Linked DNA regions of Drosophila melanogaster. The protein of the gene in region 1 interacts with the protein of each later gene in a pairwise test. Each region holds a gene or a part of one and is shown in the gene's direction. Other genes may lie near its edges.

Region 1 (3,185 bases):
CTACACACCGAAGTACTATAGTGGCAAGTGGTCCTGGAGCGCCGAAAAGGATTGCCTGGAATTCGAGCCGCACAACGATCTGGAGAATGCCAGGGAGCGCTACATCACCACCAATGGCTATAAGTTCCTGCGCATCATCGACCAGGAGGAGGAGCTTATCTTCCGGCAGGCTTACGTGCGGGATACGGGCACCTATGACTTTGACACCTTGGTGATCAACGACATCCGTGACCTGGTCCTCTTCCTGATGCCCAGCGATTTTCTGACCTACCGGTTCGTGGAGTTCATGCACCGCCCGGCGGTTCACCGTCTGATCCATGCGCTCATCATTTATTTCGAATACTTTCTGCGTATGGTGGAGTTTGTGCTGGTGCGGCGCGACGAATTGGCCGATCAGATCCAGAGCGATCAGACCATCGATATGAAGAAGACATTCTCGATCTATCTCAGTCAGTATCGCCTCCTGGTGGCCCGCAACTACAGTGTGATTCTGAAGGGAGAGGGCGATATGGCCAAATACTACCATATGAAGGAGATTATCAATATTTCGGATACCAGTCGCGACCGCGTCTTCCACGAGCAGTTTCTGGCCGTGATGACCCAGATTGTTTGGATCTGCATGCATCGCCGTGCGTACAATGTCATTGAGATGGAAATGAACCGTCTGTTTCGTTCCGATCACTTTGTTATGGCACGTCCGGAGTATCTGAGCTTTACGCCGGCGGAGCGCAGTTTACTGTACGGTCGGAACCATAAAATCGTTAACTATCGCACCCAGATATCGCCGCTCGTCCAGGAGTTGGAGCACGTGGCGGAGGAGGACATGCCCATCCTGTGGATTGGCGAGCGAAAGTACCGAGGCAACGACAAGCGCATTGCCGAGATGGAGCTGGAGTACATTGTGCCGGGACCACAGCTGCGTATGATCGATGTGGCACACGGCATACTGGGACATCCGAAGGATCTGTACAACACCATCCTAGACCTGGACTGGCCCACAGTTCGCTACTCAAACTTTTCGCTTGGCTACGATCCGTACCACATCATTCGCCAGCCGCACTTGGACATTCCCAAGATCGACGCCTTGAAAGCGCGCAAGATGAATGAAAACTACGAGCATTTCTACAAGGTGTATCGCATCTACGAGCCGCACAGCGTGCAGATCCTGCAGAAGTGGCTCAAGCGGGACAAGCTCGTCCAGTTCTATCGCTCCGGGGGACTGCTGCTCACCAACGTGGTATCCCGGTGCGAGAAGGAACTGGCCGAAAAGGTACCGGTAACCAAGGTCGACCAGGTCATATCCAATTACTTTAAGGTGAAGTCCAGGCTGCGCAAGGGATCTCCATATGAACCGGACAACGTTAGCATCACCTCCTCGCGGATCGGGGGCTTCAATTCGCCGCGCCAAAAGAAAACGCCACAGGAATACTATTTCGATTGATTTGAGGTCGTACACATCCATTAGGTTTTCAAGAGACTTCAAATACTTCAAAATTATTTATTCGTGAATAAAATACTTATAAATCTTGAAAGCTTGGCAATATTGTTGTTACTAATATTGTAGGATATTACTAGTATTTTTAAAAAATTGTATTGGATTTTTAAGGTATATATTTCCGCTTTAAAATGCGAACCGTAGACTTATCGTTCCCAGTGTTTCAAATGGCAGATCAGCTGATCCCCAGATAAGGCTATCGTATCAAAATCTGTCCACCTCGACAGCTCTGTGCAGTAGTTGCTCGATAGACACGGTTCAGTAGAGATCTTCTTCCGACCAGAATCATGTCCGCTCCGCCATATCGTCATTTTACCCAAATTGGGGATCCTGTTCTGCGCCAAAGGGCAGAAGAGGTGCCGCCCGAGGACATCGATAGTAGGGAGATCAACCAGATTATTGACGGCATGGTAAAGGTGTTACGTCACTACGATTGCGTGGGCGTGGCTGCGCCCCAAGTTGGAATACCGCTGCGTATTATCGTTATGGAATTCCGAGAGGGAAAGCAAGAGCAATTCAAGCCGGAAATCTACGAGGAGCGTAAGATGTCCATACTGCCCTTGGCCGTAAGTAAAGCTTTTCTTTTCGCGTTCGAAAAATATATGTAAATCTATGCAGTTTTATAAACGTATGAATTTGAGAAACTAAATTTCTGCATACAAAAATATTGCTTATGTGCAGCAACAATCCCGTGATTTCTCATCATAAATCATTTGCTTGCAGGTCTTCATTAATCCGGAGCTGGAGATAATCAGCAGCCAAGTAAACAAGCATCCCGAAGGTTGCATGAGTGTGCGAGGCTATTCCGCTGAGGTGGAACGGTACGATAAGGTCCGGATCCGGGGGATCGGCAAGCTGGGCACTCCGTCGGAAATGGAACTGGAGGGCTGGAACGCACGGATCGCCCAGCACGAGGTGGATCACCTTAATGGAACTATCTACATGGATAGGATGGATCTCTCCACCTTCAACTGCATCCTCTGGGAGCAAATCAACGCAGCTGAAGGTCGATCCGCCATTTGGTTTCACAAGTAATAACTTGGTTGCATTTAATTCAAGGAGCTTTTCACTTTTTTATGGCGCTTTATACAACATATTTGTATATTGTTTGAAAATAAAATACACTTCTGAAATGAATGCGCTGTTTACGAAATAAACTTTGTGTGCGGGGAAAAAGTATTTTATGCACCTAGCATATATTTAAAAGCGCGCCAAATATCAAATCTATTTCCACCGATATATCGATAGGTACATACTTTCACATCCCTAGCCGGTCAGCTGGCCAGTATGACCGTGTTGTGTAACTATATTCCCTACGATTTTGATCGGAATATTAAAGGAGGCTAAACATTTCACAAAATGCACCTGAAACCACGGATAAAAGTATGCCAAGCGATTCTGGGACATTGTCGATCCTTTGGAACGAGTCCTCCCGCTAATCAGTCGTTCAGGAAGTGGTACCAGCACCTGTGGACCACGGAGCGCACAAACTTGCCGCCATACAACCATTTCACCCAGATTGGTGACCCTGTTCTTAGGCAACAAGCGGCTTTGGTGCCCAAGGAGCACATGGCTAGCCCCGAGATTAAGGCCATCGTCGAGCGGATGGTCAAGGTGCTAAGGAAGTTCGACTGCGTCGGCATTGCGGCTCCTCAGATTGGAGTATCGCTCAGGATCATAGCAATGGAGT
Region 2 (3,043 bases), about 16 Mb from region 1:
TCCTCCAGACCGCTGTTCTCGGGTCCCTTGATGAAGACCACGCGGAGTCCCTTGTTCACGGCGTTGGCAACACGGTCGGAAGCAGATGGGTCGTAGAAGTCACCCTCGTCGGCGGTGTAAGTGAAGAATTCCTTCTCGAGTTGGGCCTGAGGAGCAGCGTAGTTGGGAGCAGCAGCAGATTGAGATCCTTCCAGGGCATCAGCAATGGATGAGGGACCGGGGGCAAAGGATGCACTAGGAGCAGGCGCGAAAGCGGGTGCATCGCTGCTGGCCGATCCAGATGGCTGGAAGCTCAATCCGGAGGGAGAGTGGGCCACCGGTTGGTAATTGTAGCCAAGTTTATCGGCCGTGGCCAAGGCAATAAAGCAAAGGACGACGAAGGAACGCATGTTGACTGTTTGGATGGCAAAGATGATTGGTTACTGACTTATCGAGTCGAAATTTTGGCTTTTATAGGTGCAATATTCAGTTCTTCGGCTGCAGTATGGTGCGATATGAATTATGAACAGCTCAAATTTGCCTTAAAAATGCATAAATAAGAGATTAAAATGTTAAATTTATAATATAATTTTATGATTCGTCACACTGCTGCTGCGGTTGCAAATTTTTGCATGGCTTTGTTTTTACTGGCTCTGCGGAAAGCGGCATGCAAATTATGAGCTAACCAGAATTGGCCAGTGAGGAGGTTCATAGTCCGACTCGGATTGCCAAATCAGATGGCGCCAAGTAATTTATTAAGAGACCAATTATCGAATTATCTGATTTGGCGCTGACAAGGCGCAGTGGTGCAGTTTTTAATTGGCAACCGGCCTAGGCGATCAGAAACCATGTATATATATTAAGTAAAGATGGCTGCTATATTTAGCGATGAGTTCGATTCTTCACTTCCGGCGGATGGAAGGTCGCCTCCACCCGCAACATTAGCATAAAGCAGCTAAACACAGCGACCAAGACGACAAGACAAAGCCGCTGAATAAGGCAATAATAATTTGGCGAATCGTTAAAATATTTATTTTTGGCAGCGGTAACGCGACTAGGCGCGCCTCATTTGCATGTGAAACGGCCTGTCAAACGTTTTGTTTGCTCTCCGGCCGATTTAGGTGACACTTCTCATCCCGGGCGAACTGGGAATGGGTTTGGATTTGTGATACACATGTGATACATGAGTAACAAGGCATCCATCTAAATAGCCCCAAATGAGGTTTACGATGCTCTTGATGCTCTGTCCGCGGCTTTTTATAGCCAGATTTTATTGATTTCAACGATAAAGCTACATGAAAATACCAAAATGGCAAGGTTGGCCCACAACACTGGCCAAAAGCGGCGCCGAAGAATACGCGAATTATTGATTAAGGCAGCATATTGAATTTAATATGAATTTTATGGCGCCAGCTCCGGCTCATACATGGCCCGTACCTCTTCCTTCTGAGTTTCTACGTTGACCTCATGATGCAGCCACCCGCTTCGCTTGCATATTTTAGCGGGGTGGTACCGGTACTGCCTGATCTAGTTGGCTAAGACCGTAATTAGACCGCTTTATGCAGAGCGTTTTGCATAGCAGTGGCTTTCATCTGCATAAAAGCGAAAGAACCATCTCACACCATCATCAAATCCCACAACCACCTCACCCGCTCAACATGCGTCAGTTCTCCGTAGTTCTTTGCCTGTGCCTCGCCGTTTTGGCCAGAGCCGATAAACTCGGCTACAATTACCAACCGGTGGCCCACTCTCCCTCCGGATTGAGCTTCCAGCCATCTGGATCGGCCAGTAGCGATGCACCCGCTTTCGCGCCTGCACCCAGTGAATCCTTTGGCCCCGGTCCCTCATCCATTGCTGATGCCCTGGAAGGATCTCAATCCGCTGCTGCCCCCAACTACGCTGCTCCTCAGGCCCAACTCGAAAAGGAGTTCTTCACTTACACCGCCGACGAGGGTGACTTCTACGACCCAGCTGCCTCCGACCGTGTTGCCAACGCCGTGAACAAGGGACTCCGCGTGGTCTTCATCAAGGGACCCGAGAACCGCGGTCTGGAGGATGCCGCTCTGGCTCTGGCCAAGCAGGCTGCCCAGCAGGAGACCGCCATCTATGTCCTGAACAAGCAGGCTGACATTGGAGATCTGGCCAACAAGCTGAACTCCATCCGCAACAACAACAACAACAAGCCCGAGGTGCACTTCGTCAAGTACCGCACTCCCGAGGATGCTGCCAACGCCCAGAGTGCAATTCAGGGTCAGTACGATCAGTTGGGAGGATCTTCGCAAGCTCAAGATGGTGGAGTGGCATCCACCCTGAACTTCGCTTCCCAGCCCGCTCCTGTTCAGGCTGCCAGCAGCCAAGCGCCCGCCCAGTTCCTGCCCGCCTCCCAGCCCGAGGCTACTGCACCCATCTCCTCGTATGTGCCACCTGCCACCCCAGGTAGCTCCTACTTGCCCGCCAACATCCTGCGCCGCCTGCGTTTCTAAGTTCCTGGCATTTCCTTTGTTATTGTTGAGATTATAATACGAAATAAATTTGTTTAATAATATAAATTTTTAAGTTGTTGTTACTCTTTTTGAGAGCTATTGATATAAATGGTATAATCAGCTATTTTGAGGATTAAAAATACGTAATAAGATAGTCTGGATGCTCCTGAAATTCCCGACATTCTTGTGCTATTGTTTAGATTTGAAGACCTAATAAAATTGTTTTAAAATGTAAATTATTAGGTTGGCTTGCGGATCTTCGCGGCCAACATTCCTAGGCATATTATCAGCCAGAATTAAATTTCCGAGGCACAACATTTTCGCACTCGGCGGCTGGCAAACAAGTTCGACTTGCGTTGAATTATGAGTCCGTCCGGCTAAGCTGTTTGTGAAAATTGCAAATGAGCGGAAACCTAAGATGTTTTCTCTGGCATCGCTTTGAATAATCTGCTTCGTGTTAATCTGTATAATCTGGTGTATAACATATGGCTTATCGGCTACTTGGCTGCCCATGCCTACCTACGCACTTCGCGGTTCGAAATTGAGATGGCACTCGGTTTGACAAATTGCACGAGACATCG
Region 3 (7,617 bases), on another chromosome or scaffold:
ATCAACAATAATAATAATTAATATTATTTTGTATTTAATTTCCAGAATTCATGGAGATGATGACTGGCGAGTAAGCATTGTGGACCCAACGTATCTCATAATTGTCTACCCCCCAACACCCGAGGCTTGAATAAACGTTTTGTATTTTATTTCTACGATTGAGTAATCATAATTACGCTATAAATAATCCGCTCGTTCAGGAACCGATTGAGTAGAAAAACCCAAAGCGCGGCAAACATTCTATGGCTGCAGTGCATCTGCATCCGAGTTGAGTCATCTTAATTGCCAATTGCCACCCTCTGGCGTGCGGATTATTATTAAATTTCAATGTTTGTGCAATGGGCTGGGAGTGGGCGTGGCCGCTCTGCTCATTTGTGTGTTAATTTGGCAAGGCCATTCGGCGTATGAGTGATGCATGTTGCGCATACGCAACGTGGCCAGATGCATGCGGAGTTCTTTGTTTCAATCTTTCCGCTATTACTTGCGGCAGTGCGTGCACATTCCGTTTGCCACTTGACTGGCGTTCTGGTCCGCACAGCTGTGACCATCCCAAGCAGAATAAGGCCCACTGACAACCTGCTAGATTTTTGCCTTTCCAAACAGCCAATGTAGTATATCATAGCTATGCATGCAGGCTGGCAAATGTCAATGAGCATTCTCCTTGTTGCCAAAAGATGTCAAGCATTTACGCTAAACTTGGCCGCCGCGACATGCAGTGAGTTTGTTTTCCCAAATTCAGCGAAAAGAAGCAACTGCCCTTTCTGAAAAGTTAGCGAAAAAAAAGGAGAAGGGGCTTGGGGCAGATCGATGTGGATGGGTTGGGGTTTGGATGTTGCCACCAAGTGGAGCAACTTGTTTTGCGCAATGCTTAGTCTTTCGGCCGGAGGGTGTCGATATTAGTGGTATTTATTACCGCTTCGAATCCAGTTTTCAGTTTTTACCCAATCATTAGGTGAAAGGTCACAGACTGGACCTGGACGCCCTGTGAAAGAGCTGAAAATGTGGCGGATTGTGTTGGGTGTCAGATTTATTGACATCCGCCTGGGCAGACTTCTCAATATGCGATTCTTGACACCGAGCGCATTAAAACGGTTTCCCAAACGTGCAATTCAATGGAGATGAAGCTGAATGATGATGATGCGCTCGAGCGTTGAGCGTTTCGATTGGATTCCAATTTACGAGCACCACCAGCAGCAGTTGCTTGCTTGCTAATTTTTACCCACTAACCGAGGAGAGATGTGGCTGAGAGCGTTTGTTTAACAAGACAAGGTACATTGAGTAAACGAGATGCCGCCGTTGAGACAATAGTCAAAATGCATGGGCTTGCGGATGAGGATGCGGGGGCACCACCACCTCCTCCTCCCTTTTTCGTGCGATTGTTTTCTGCCCCAGCTGGGGACGGAGCCTCAGCTAGCACCACCACCATCACCACCACAGCTGCACACGATTGCAATAAATGCCATAAAGTATCAAAATCTCAGCACTCGCTCAGCACCGAGCTCCAAGCTGCAAGCGGCAAGCTCCGGCTGCAGTTTTCGTTCATTCCATTCCATTTGATTGCATTTGGCGCCAAACCAAGTATAAAAGCTGGAGAACTTGGGCTGCGATCGGCACACAAGTACCGTGACATTCGAGGAGCCACAACACGACACGCGGAGGCACTGCATCGCTGGTGCGGCAAAGGACTTACGTGGATTAACCCAGCTTTGTGGATAAATTAAGCAGTGGATAAATTGTGGGTGCGCCAAGGATTCTTCTTCTTAATCCTCGATCGAAACAATCAAAAGATTGCTGTCATGGCTCTTAAGTGGGTAAGTTCAGTGAAAGAGGAAAGTAACTTTGGGTTAGAAAATTCAAAAGATCCAAGTGTTCTAATGAAGAGTCCTTTGAAACTCCATATGCTGTTGTGGTTAGAAATTATTGTAGAGCTTTACTAATTTTTCCCGAAAAGTATCCTTCTTGAGATAATGACCTAGATTCAAAAATATATTTCAATGTTTGAATATAATATTCATATTTATATTCATATTTTCCGTTTTTATTCTTTTCGGATTTTTTACATTCATTACATTTTTACATTTTACATTCGAATGCAAAGATCTTAATGCTTCAAATTTAATTAAATTGATTTCATTACCCAATTTAATTTAAATGAAAGTAAAGTTACGAATTTTACCTTAGAATAAAGACATTCAATTATTTTAGTCTAGGGAATTGTCTCATCAGAAATCTGTATTAAATTGGCATAGGAATATTCTTATTCATCAAGAGTTTATAACTTTTCAGGAAACTTTGATTTAGTTAATTATTTAATCTCAACTTGGCAACTCATAAAATTCCGCGAAAAAGAACATGCCTAAACAATAGGCCACTGGAGTGTCCCATCTTGGATATTTTAGCACAGCCAAGGGTTTCCCCATTGCACTTAGCATATCCGATTGTCTTGAAAAGATCGAGTAATCCCCGTGAAACGCATAAATTAACAGCCCATTTGCAATCGGAGATGGTGGATGGCACGCAAAGTTGCCCAAGATGGTTTGGTCGTGGCCGATCCGCCCCGCCTCCAAAGCAGATCATCGAAATGGAAGCAGTGGCGACCCAATTGGCAGCCCATTTGCAATAACCGCAATTATATTTGCGGTTGCGAAACGCTGTCGAAGATGTCTGCTAGGTGGTCACGAACTCCAAGAGGCTCTCACAGACTCCTCAAGATATTCCGGCCCAAGGGGCAGGCGTTGCTTGTTTCGGTTGCATGTGCCACAGTCGCCGGATGAGTCAGTGTGGCAAATGTCAGAATTTCCACAATATTACATTATTACACTGCCCGGCTGTGGCGACAAGTGAGCTCATCATCGTGCCAATCGATGGAGCTGTTAGGTTTATGGCCCAATGGAATTCGTAAACGGTTTAAACTTCAACTTGACACTCGCTGGTCCGCTCCGCTTAGCCAACCTTCCCAGCCAGCAATTCTCTGTGGCACTCTCGGTTCACACGCTGCTGCATCTTCAGACGTCTTCTGTCTAACAAGAAGTCCATAAATATCATAGTTCGCCTCAGGCTGAGACAATGATGAGCCAGCCCGATGTTGATACTATAGTCAAGAGTCCCCGCTGCACTTGCAGCCTTAATGGGCGACGACGATCGGTTGCAACAATGGAAAACGTGAGCGGATCGGATTGCGTCGTTCTGTCAATGGACAAATGCTTCATTGATGAAATGGCCGACATTTGGCCACACTCTTGACCCCTTTGGAGGTTCCCAGCGGCGGGGTCATGATACCCACTTGGCCGAGATGTGTATCAGGGCTTAATTAACAGCAGAAACAATTCAAGGTTCTTCTTGTAATTTGAAGTTTGGAAAAAGCTTATCGTTTATTTTTGGAACGAACCATTGCTGTTTAACTTAAAATACACATTTATTACAAATAATTACCAAAATGCTATCATGAGTAAAGTACAGTTGTAAAAAATGACATAATGTTAGTAAGACATTAAAAATCGTTTAAAAGTATTTCTTAATACGAATAATTCGAAAATAATAATTTTCAGACGCTTAACATTATTTTAAGTTTAAATACGTCCTTGTGCTCAAGCAACAAAAGTTTATTCGAATAACACTTTTTATGGCGGTCGTTAAATGACTATTTCATTACATTTAGCAGCCTTTTTTCATGTTATCTTCAGATTTATGAATTAGCCGCAGTTAATGAAGTTAAATTTTAAACAATTAGCCACCCCTGCGATTTTTCACTGGCATTTATTTTGCAATCAAATAAGTCAACACGCCAAAGATTCGCTTCAGGCCAAATTGAGAACGTGGATCGCGATGGAAGATGCTGGATTCGCATGAACTTTCCATGTGCTTGCATAAATTTGTGAACTTACCGGGCAATCCCTACCTGCAACGATCTTTTTCAGGCTCTGGTGATCACGACGCTGGTGGTTGCCCAAGCAGCCAAGCTGGATAACAAATACCTGCCCCCACCTGCAAGTGCGGCCAGTGCGGGCGGCAGTCCGGGAGCAGGGCTTCAGGGCCCAGGAGGTGGCTTCGGCGGAGGTGGAGGATTCGGTGGCGGCGGAGCGGGTGGAGGTTATGGAGGAGGCGGCGGTGGCGGACCAGCTGGCGGCTTCGGTGGAGGACCAGGCGGTGGCGGTGCTGGTGGCTTTGGTGGTGGTAATAACGGACTTGGTGGCTTCGCAAACGGAAGACCCATTGCACCTGGCGGCGGCGGCGGAGGCGGCGGAGCACCCGCTCCACGCCCCAGTCCGTCAGGTGGCGCGCCACCAACTTCTGGACCTCCCATTCCGATCCTCTCATTTGTCAACGAGAACGACGGCGATGGCAACTACCGTTTCAGCTACGAGACTGGAAATGGTATAAAGGCCCAGGAGGAGGGCACCGTTAAGAACAAGGGATCTGAGAATGAAATCCCATCCGTGATGGGCTCATACTCCTACACAAATCCCGAAGGTGAACTCGTCGAGATCATGTACACGGCGGATGAGAATGGCTTTGTGCCCTCGGGCAACGCCCTGCCCACTCCACCGCCCATTCCGGAAGCGATAGCCAAATCTCTGGCTGCCCAGGGCATCTCCATACTGCCGGGTGGTGGATACAGTGGCGGTCCTGGAGGACAGGGTAAGTTTCTACAAAATAAATCAATGGATTAACATTCCATTTCATTGCTCACTTTTGATTGCAGGAGCAGGTGGCGGCGGAGGCGGTGGTTCGGGATATGGAGGCGGATCCGGATTTGGAGGCGGCGGCGCAGGAGGAGGATCCGGTGGAGGCGGAGGTGGAGCAGGAGGTGGCGGTGGATATGGATCAGGTAAGATACGAATTCAAGTCACATTTTGACCCTTTTTCTTTTTTTAGTCTTTTTTGACTTTAACTTTGATTATTTTTAGGAGGCGGCAGTGGTCGTGGAGGAGCACCAGGAGGTCCAGGTAACGACTGATTTATTTATACAATTTTTAAAAATGTTAACCCCTATTAGATTAATTTAATACTTTATCGATTCGTTTGCTTCTTTAGGTGCGCCAGGTGGAGGCGGATTCGGAGGTCAAGGTAAGTTATGTTCCAACGGCTTACACATGGATCTAAAATACTATTTATTTTTTAGGAGGTGGAGGAGGCTATGGAGGAGCTGGTGGCGGAGCTGGTCGTGGTGGTTCCCCAGGAGGTCCTGGTAAGTCCTTTTTCTAGATGAAATTTATTGTTCCTAAAGAAAATCCGTCTTAATTCACTTCATGAATTTATATTTATTTTCATATATTTCAGGATCACCTGGCGGCGGCGGATTTGGTGGTCAAGGAGGTGCTGGCGGCGGTTATGGTGGTGGCGGCGGCGGAGGACGCGGCGGTGGCGGAGCACCAGGAGCTCCCGGTAAGTTAACGAAAAGTGTTACTCCATAGATACTCAAAACTAATAACTTACTTCAACTAAAGGATCACCTGGCGGTGGAGGTTTCGGAGGTCAAGGTAAGTGATCCCGCCTGACTTTGCGGTTCAAGTTAAAACTATATACACTTTCCAGGTGGAGGCGGAGGATTCGGAGGTGGCGGCGGACGCGGCGGTGCTCCTGGCGCTCCCGGTGAGTTCATGATTTCATTCACTTTATATAATAGATAACACATTGCTTATTTTCAGGATCACCAGGCGGAGGCGGATATGGTGGCCAGGGAGGTGCTGGCGGCGGCTATGGAGGCGGCGGCGGTCGCGGTGGTGGTGGAGCACCAGGTGCGCCAGGAGCACCAGGATCCCCAGGTGGTGGCGGATTCGGAGGTCAAGGTAAGGGATTTTAAAACTTACTGCACATTCACCTCGAATAATACATTCATCTTGTAGGAGGTGGTGGCGGATTCGGAGGAGGTGGTGGTCGTGGAGGTGCCCCAGGAGCTCCAGGTGAGTACAAAACATAAATTGTTTGTTACTGAAAATAAGGAATTATTAATTAATAGGATCGCCTGGTGGAGGAGGATTTGGCGGTCAAGGTTAGTTAGCAAAACAATATTCCAGTTGCAGGTCTTAAGTAAAACATCTTCATCTTGTAGGTGGGGGTGGCGGATACGGAGGCGGCGCCGGTCGTGGTGGTGCTCCTGGAGCTCCTGGTAAGTCGATTTTAATATCTGCCTAGTGGCTTTAAAAACATACCATTCGTGTTTCGCAGGCTCTCCCGGAGGAGGAGGATTCGGAGGCCAAGGTTAGTAACTTAGTAACAGTACACTGTGCATTCCACAAAACTTACGAAATTCTTCAAGTTTCCGACTACTTGTTAAACTGTGTTATAAATATTATAATAATTAAAGTAATATTTATTTTTTAGGAGGTGGTGGTGGCTTTGGCGCCGGCGGTGGTCGCGGTGGAGCTGGAGGAGCACCCGGTGGACCCGGTGAGTAACATTGGTTTTTGTGATGAAGAGGTCACTCTCCCAATTTGTCACAACATATAGATGGTATTTACATTTTTTAATGTAGGATCTCCAGGCGGTCCAGGTTATGGAGGAGGTGCCGGTGGACCGGGTAAGAAGCATTATAGTTATAAACCCGGTTTTACAATCTGTGTGATTGCAATTGTAAAACTTGAATTAGCCTCATTCATCTTCATGAGAAAATGATGTGAAGAGCTACACTAGACAAGTGCTATTCCCACACATTTCAGTTTTTTTATTTTGACAATTCTTGTTTGGCAAAGCCTTGGTCTATTGTTTTACCCACGATCGACTAACGATCTTTCATGCATAAAACATTTCGGCTTGCACGCGGTCTCTTTGAAGTCGCTAGATTATAATAATTTTAAAGACTGCTTTAAATAATTACAACTAATCAAAGAGGGTTTACATAAATTTAATGCCACTCTAATCGCGATTGTTTCCATTTTTTATCTAGGAGGCGCCGGTGGACGTCCAGGCGGACCAGGATTGCCCGGCAATCAGTATGTTCCACCAGCGGCTGGTGGCGGAGCACCCGGCTCGCCAGGCAGACCAGGATCGGGAGGAGTTCCCGGCACAGGATCACAGTACATTCCACCTGCTCCGGGAGCGCCGGGCGGAGGTCGTGGAAACGGAGAGTTCAATCCTCAGACGGGCTATAGCTACTAAAATCAGAATTTATTCCAAAACGCCAATCAAATCTCTCAAATCGAAGAAACGTCATTTCCGTGCAGGCTGCCCTCAATGTTCTTTCGCTAAAACAATTAATTTATTTATATAAGCTTACCTCCCTCTTCCACTCTGACAATGTGTGTGTGCAACTATCGAAATAAATGATTATTATAAAATATTTGCTTATCATTTTGCGCCGCGTAAGCTGCGGAAATTGAAACAAACTGCTTGACTTTTCAGATGCATGTATTTCATGCCTTTGAGTTGCGACTACATCTTCAAACTAATCAATCATTTAAATGACATTAATTTGTCGTTATTTCTTTGGGGACTTCTTGAAGCGTCTGCCGTACTGATTATAGCCATATGGATCCACCAGGTTGTTCGGTCTGCCCCTCAGTTGTTGGGTGATTAGGGCCTGTTGCTGCTGCTCGTTTTGCTGCTCCTTCTGCTGCTGTTGCTGCTGCTGCTGTTGTTGCTGCTGCTGCTGCTGTTGCTGGTTGAGATTCTGCTGCT
Region 4 (3,937 bases), on another chromosome or scaffold:
AGTGCTATGATCGCTTCGGGCAATCGCTGGCCGAACGCTGCGATTGCCGTGGCTTCTTCGCTAGCTGCTCTGCATTGGTGGATCGACGGAAGTGTATTCGTGAGCTGTGTACCACCATCGTGAACACACGAAAGGGAGAAACTCATGCACCACTGCTTCATCTTTCGCATCGAACGTTGGCCGAGATTCAGCCTGCGTGGAGTGAGATCGGTGATTTGGACTGGTCGGCAATACGCCAATCGGATGCGCTTTCTTCCAGCGATTTTATCAATCCCGATCTTCAGCAGATGCGACGGCTAGTCAAGCGGATTGGCCGCTTATCCAGCCTTGAGGACATGCAGACCGCAATAAAGCGCTCCATGGAGCTGATTGAGTACCAGGTGTGGCTGCAGCTTTTTAGGGAGCCAAAGGACAGCGAAATTCACAAGGATTGCTACCTAATGCGCCACATGATCTGTGACACTTTATCGGAGGGCGGATCTACCGCTTGCACCGGCTTCCTGCACAATATCTTTCTGTTCGTATCGCAATCCGCCAATGAGATGAGATTCTGGGCCAGTATGGAGCATGTACGTCTGGCCGGCAGCCTTATTGCCTACCTAATCGACCATTGGAATCGCCACCTGCCCTACCTAGACTTGGATGAGATGCAATTGACCGCTGATGCACCAGTCACGGCTGTCTCGCAGCTGCCCGTGAACGAGGCCACATACATAACCTACCTGATGCTGGCCACCGGATCCATATGTCGCCGGCAGTTCGCCCAGCAGCTGCGTGCCCAACTACCCCCCAATTCCTGGACACATTTGCTGGAGCTGCTAAATAAAGTGGCATTCGTTTTCACTTAACTACACTACGAGTTTAATCATGTTTCGGCAAAAACTCGCAGTTGCCATCGGTCAGGCGAACCACCTTCTCGCCCTTCTCGGCCAGGATCTCCTCGATGTTGCGCTTGCCGTCCAGATCTGTGAACCAGTTCAGATTGTCGGCGATCAGGTGGTGATTGGAGCAGCCCTCGCAGGTCACGATAACAACGCCGCGTTGGTATGCCAGCTTCGAAATGGTCTTCATGTTCCGGGTCTGGCACACCTTGCAGGTGTAGATCAGCTGCATCTTGGCCTCCAGTTTCGCCAGAGGAATGCTATTCGTGGCCACCGTCTTGTCCGCATCGTCCTGGGAGCAGAGCAAAATAATTATACTTAACTTTTTTGTTATACATAATTTTAAATATTGCATTCCATTTATAATATTTTAAATTACAAATGTAAATAACATTATTTAATATCAATTGGGTAGTTTATTTGTATTTACAACTGATTTCCAAACATACCACTGGCTTACTGCAGTGTATACTGCGGCAAATGCACGTGTAGTTGTTGCTGCTGCTAAAAACAGCTGTTTGTGTTTTGGTTGCAAAGTGATGCACTTGCAACTGCAATTGTGGACTATTTAAAGCATCAATTTGTGTTCTTCGGGAACTGGTAAGTAGTGCGCCTCTTCTCACACCTGCGCTGATTTTATAAAATTTTTTTAGGGCGGACATATCCTCGATTTTGTTGATATTATTTAACTCAATCGAAAAGTGTGAAATTCATTTAAACTTAGAGATGGCACCTCCTTTCATTTCAAAACTAGTCGCGAGTCACGATTTTAAAAAGTTACTATAGCTGTCACTGGTGCTGATAAAATTTGCTGTAACTCACAGACATTAAAACCAATTGTTAATATAAATTCTACTGTGAAATATTAAGTTAAGTTATTAATGAAGTCCACCTGGACTCTGGGGCTTAAAAATAACTTATTTTTCAAACAGGTAGTAACCGTTTCTCCGCTATCCCGTGACACTGCCAATCGATGACATCTGTTAATGCCATCTCACGTGATACTATCGACAGTACTATCGACCATCTGGTAGTAAGCACTCATATTTTCGAATTTTTTTTGTGGAAATTCTCGAGTCAAACAAATTATATAAAGGGCACGAACCGATGGCGACACGTGTGGTGGCAACGGCGACAGTGCGGGCGGTGAAAGGCCGGAAGTTAATCCCGACGCGGGCCGCTCTGACTCTGGTAAGGAAACCAAAACCTGGTGAAATCGGCGCATGCTGCTGCTGATGAAGTAACAGTCCCCTTCGATCTGATGATTCTGATCTCCCCCAATCCTTTTCAGACACCCGCGGCGGTGCTACGCATCAAGACGCTTCTGCAGGACAAGCCGGACATGGTGAGTGACTGCTGACAAGTTGTCATCGAACCAAGGCTACACTTTAGTGGGCATTCTATCGCCTTCCACGATTGAGATCTTGATAATCTCGCCTAGCTCTTTAAAGGTTCCCGTGCATGTTATTTAAGTTTTAGCACTGGTTGCATGGAGTATAGGAAGTTCGCAAGAGGGCTTCTTCAAGCATTATATTTGACAATAGGCTTTTTCCTCAGTCAGTCATATATTTTAGCGCAAATTATTAGCTATAAATATAAGCCATGCTAACTAATTCGGCCTGCGTTAATCAGCTAGATTTTCCAAATTTTGACCCGACCAAATTTTGATGAGCATGTTTATCTTGTTGTTAATCATTTAGTTTTTAAGTGATTAAATTCTTTGAATTGAGACAGACTTATTAGAATACCGAGTTCTTTGTCTTTGGTCAATAAACAAGGCTGCCTATAAATTAGCCACACAGTTAATGACAGAAATTCGATGTTGTTTCTGCCACAGGTTGGCCTAAAGGTGGGCGTACGGCAGCGAGGATGCAATGGTCTGTCCTACACGCTGGACTATGCCAGCCAAAAAGGTAAGCCACTCTGGACAGAATGTTGTTCGGTGGAGATCTAATGCTGCGTTCTGTGTCGATTTTTGCCAGCAGACAAGTTGGATGAGGAGGTGGTCCAGGATGGCGTCAAGGTCTTCATCGACAAGAAAGCGCAGTTGTCGCTGCTGGGTAAGTTCATACCAGCTTAGCATAGCATTGGACAAGCCAGCTAATACAGAGTATAATTCGCTTGCAGGTACCGAGATGGACTTTGTGGAATCGAAGCTGTCCAGCGAGTTCGTGTTTAACAATCCGAACATTAAGGGCACATGCGGCTGCGGCGAATCGTTCAGCATGTAAACCGATGGAGATCCGGAGGAGATCCGCCGGCACCCGCCTCGCAGACAGACCTAAATTAACTAAGTTAAATGCAGTACGCGGCCCGACCTTGTATCTCATTACGTTGTTGGCAAAAGCACCGCATCCTTTGTAAATTTTACTTCGCAAACGAATTCTAAATATTAAGTTGTGTTCTATAGTTAAATTTTAGTTGTAGCGCTAGGTAAGTGACGCACCCGCTTCCTTGCCGCAGGCTGGCAGTTTGTCCTCTTTAGCCCTAGTTCAATATATAGACAAGGAATGTTCTAGAAAACCCATGTGCAAATCAAGTTTATTATTGAAAAAATACTTCGACTACGTGCATGTTACCGCTGATTGATACCCTGGAAACCGTACTCCTCGTAGTCGTCTTGCGTGTAAACAAACTCTTCAAAGTTGGGGCTGGTCGCAACCTCCTTGCCGCCGTACCACGCGTACCGCACCGGATCCTCGGGACAGATGAGTGACACTTCAAGATCGTCGGGCACCAGGGCACGTAAATCGCGCTTTAGGCGCGGCAGAAATCCCGGAAACTGGGCACTGCCGCCCACAATAAGGATGTTGAGCAGGAGTTCGCGGTGCGCTTCCCAGGGGCAAGCCTTCAGACAATCGGCCACCGCTTCCGGAATGCCCACCTGTTGCACACCAATGTCCGAGGGATTGAAGAGCAGCTCGGGCACGGTGAAACGTTCATTGCACAGCGACACCATTTGCTGTTGCTCCTCATCCTCGCGCGGCTTTCCGGGAACACGAACATAGCCCCGTTTGACGGTGGTGAAGTCTGGAAGGACATAATCAACTGTGACT

What was found.
Region 2: the proteins of CG31373 (region 1) and TwdlJ interact in a two-hybrid assay, tested with the Drosophila melanogaster proteins (one large-scale study listed by BioGRID).
Region 3: the proteins of CG31373 (region 1) and Cpr47Ef interact in a two-hybrid assay, tested with the Drosophila melanogaster proteins (one large-scale study listed by BioGRID).
Region 4: the proteins of CG31373 (region 1) and MagR interact in a two-hybrid assay, tested with the Drosophila melanogaster proteins (one large-scale study listed by BioGRID).

What each region holds. Positions count from the first base shown.
Region 1 is NT_033777.3:10,707,932-10,711,116, reverse strand, and holds CG31373 (uncharacterized protein), read left to right. Parts: upstream 1-1,752; 5' UTR 1,753-1,782; coding exon 1,783-2,061; intron 2,062-2,218; coding exon 2,219-2,530; 3' UTR 2,531-2,630; downstream 2,631-3,185. Other genes in the region: CG14689 (uncharacterized protein), read left to right, coding at 1-1,441; CG31278 (uncharacterized protein), read left to right, coding at 2,855-3,185.
Region 2 is NT_033777.3:26,628,319-26,631,361, forward strand, and holds TwdlJ (TweedleJ), read left to right. Parts: upstream 1-1,599; 5' UTR 1,600-1,637; coding exon 1,638-2,462; 3' UTR 2,463-2,507; downstream 2,508-3,043. Other genes in the region: TwdlK (TweedleK), read right to left, coding at 1-389.
Region 3 is NT_033778.4:11,266,571-11,274,187, reverse strand, and holds Cpr47Ef (cuticular protein 47Ef), read left to right. Parts: upstream 1-1,612; 5' UTR 1,613-1,796; coding exon 1,797-1,811; intron 1,812-3,917; coding exon 3,918-4,638; intron 4,639-4,702; coding exon 4,703-4,828; intron 4,829-4,907; coding exon 4,908-4,946; intron 4,947-5,034; coding exon 5,035-5,067; intron 5,068-5,122; coding exon 5,123-5,188; intron 5,189-5,280; coding exon 5,281-5,385; intron 5,386-5,447; coding exon 5,448-5,480; intron 5,481-5,535; coding exon 5,536-5,592; intron 5,593-5,648; coding exon 5,649-5,789; intron 5,790-5,846; coding exon 5,847-5,903; intron 5,904-5,959; coding exon 5,960-5,992; intron 5,993-6,052; coding exon 6,053-6,109; intron 6,110-6,168; coding exon 6,169-6,201; intron 6,202-6,324; coding exon 6,325-6,390; intron 6,391-6,475; coding exon 6,476-6,520; intron 6,521-6,886; coding exon 6,887-7,098; 3' UTR 7,099-7,273; downstream 7,274-7,617. Other genes in the region: TpnC47D (troponin C at 47D), read left to right, coding at 46-74; Cpr47Ee (cuticular protein 47Ee), read right to left, coding at 7,418-7,617.
Region 4 is NC_004354.4:15,732,381-15,736,317, forward strand, and holds MagR (magnetic receptor), read left to right. Parts: upstream 1-1,889; 5' UTR 1,890-1,988; coding exon 1,989-2,072; intron 2,073-2,172; coding exon 2,173-2,226; intron 2,227-2,718; coding exon 2,719-2,794; intron 2,795-2,863; coding exon 2,864-2,941; intron 2,942-3,008; coding exon 3,009-3,112; 3' UTR 3,113-3,400; downstream 3,401-3,937. Other genes in the region: CG8191 (uncharacterized protein), read left to right, coding at 1-848; CG12379 (uncharacterized protein), read right to left, coding at 862-1,173, 1,331-1,543; Arp6 (Actin-related protein 6), read right to left, coding at 3,457-3,937. UniProt on the Drosophila melanogaster protein: Involved in the assembly of mitochondrial iron-sulfur proteins. Probably involved in the binding of an intermediate of Fe/S cluster assembly. Required for maintenance of circadian rhythms under constant darkness.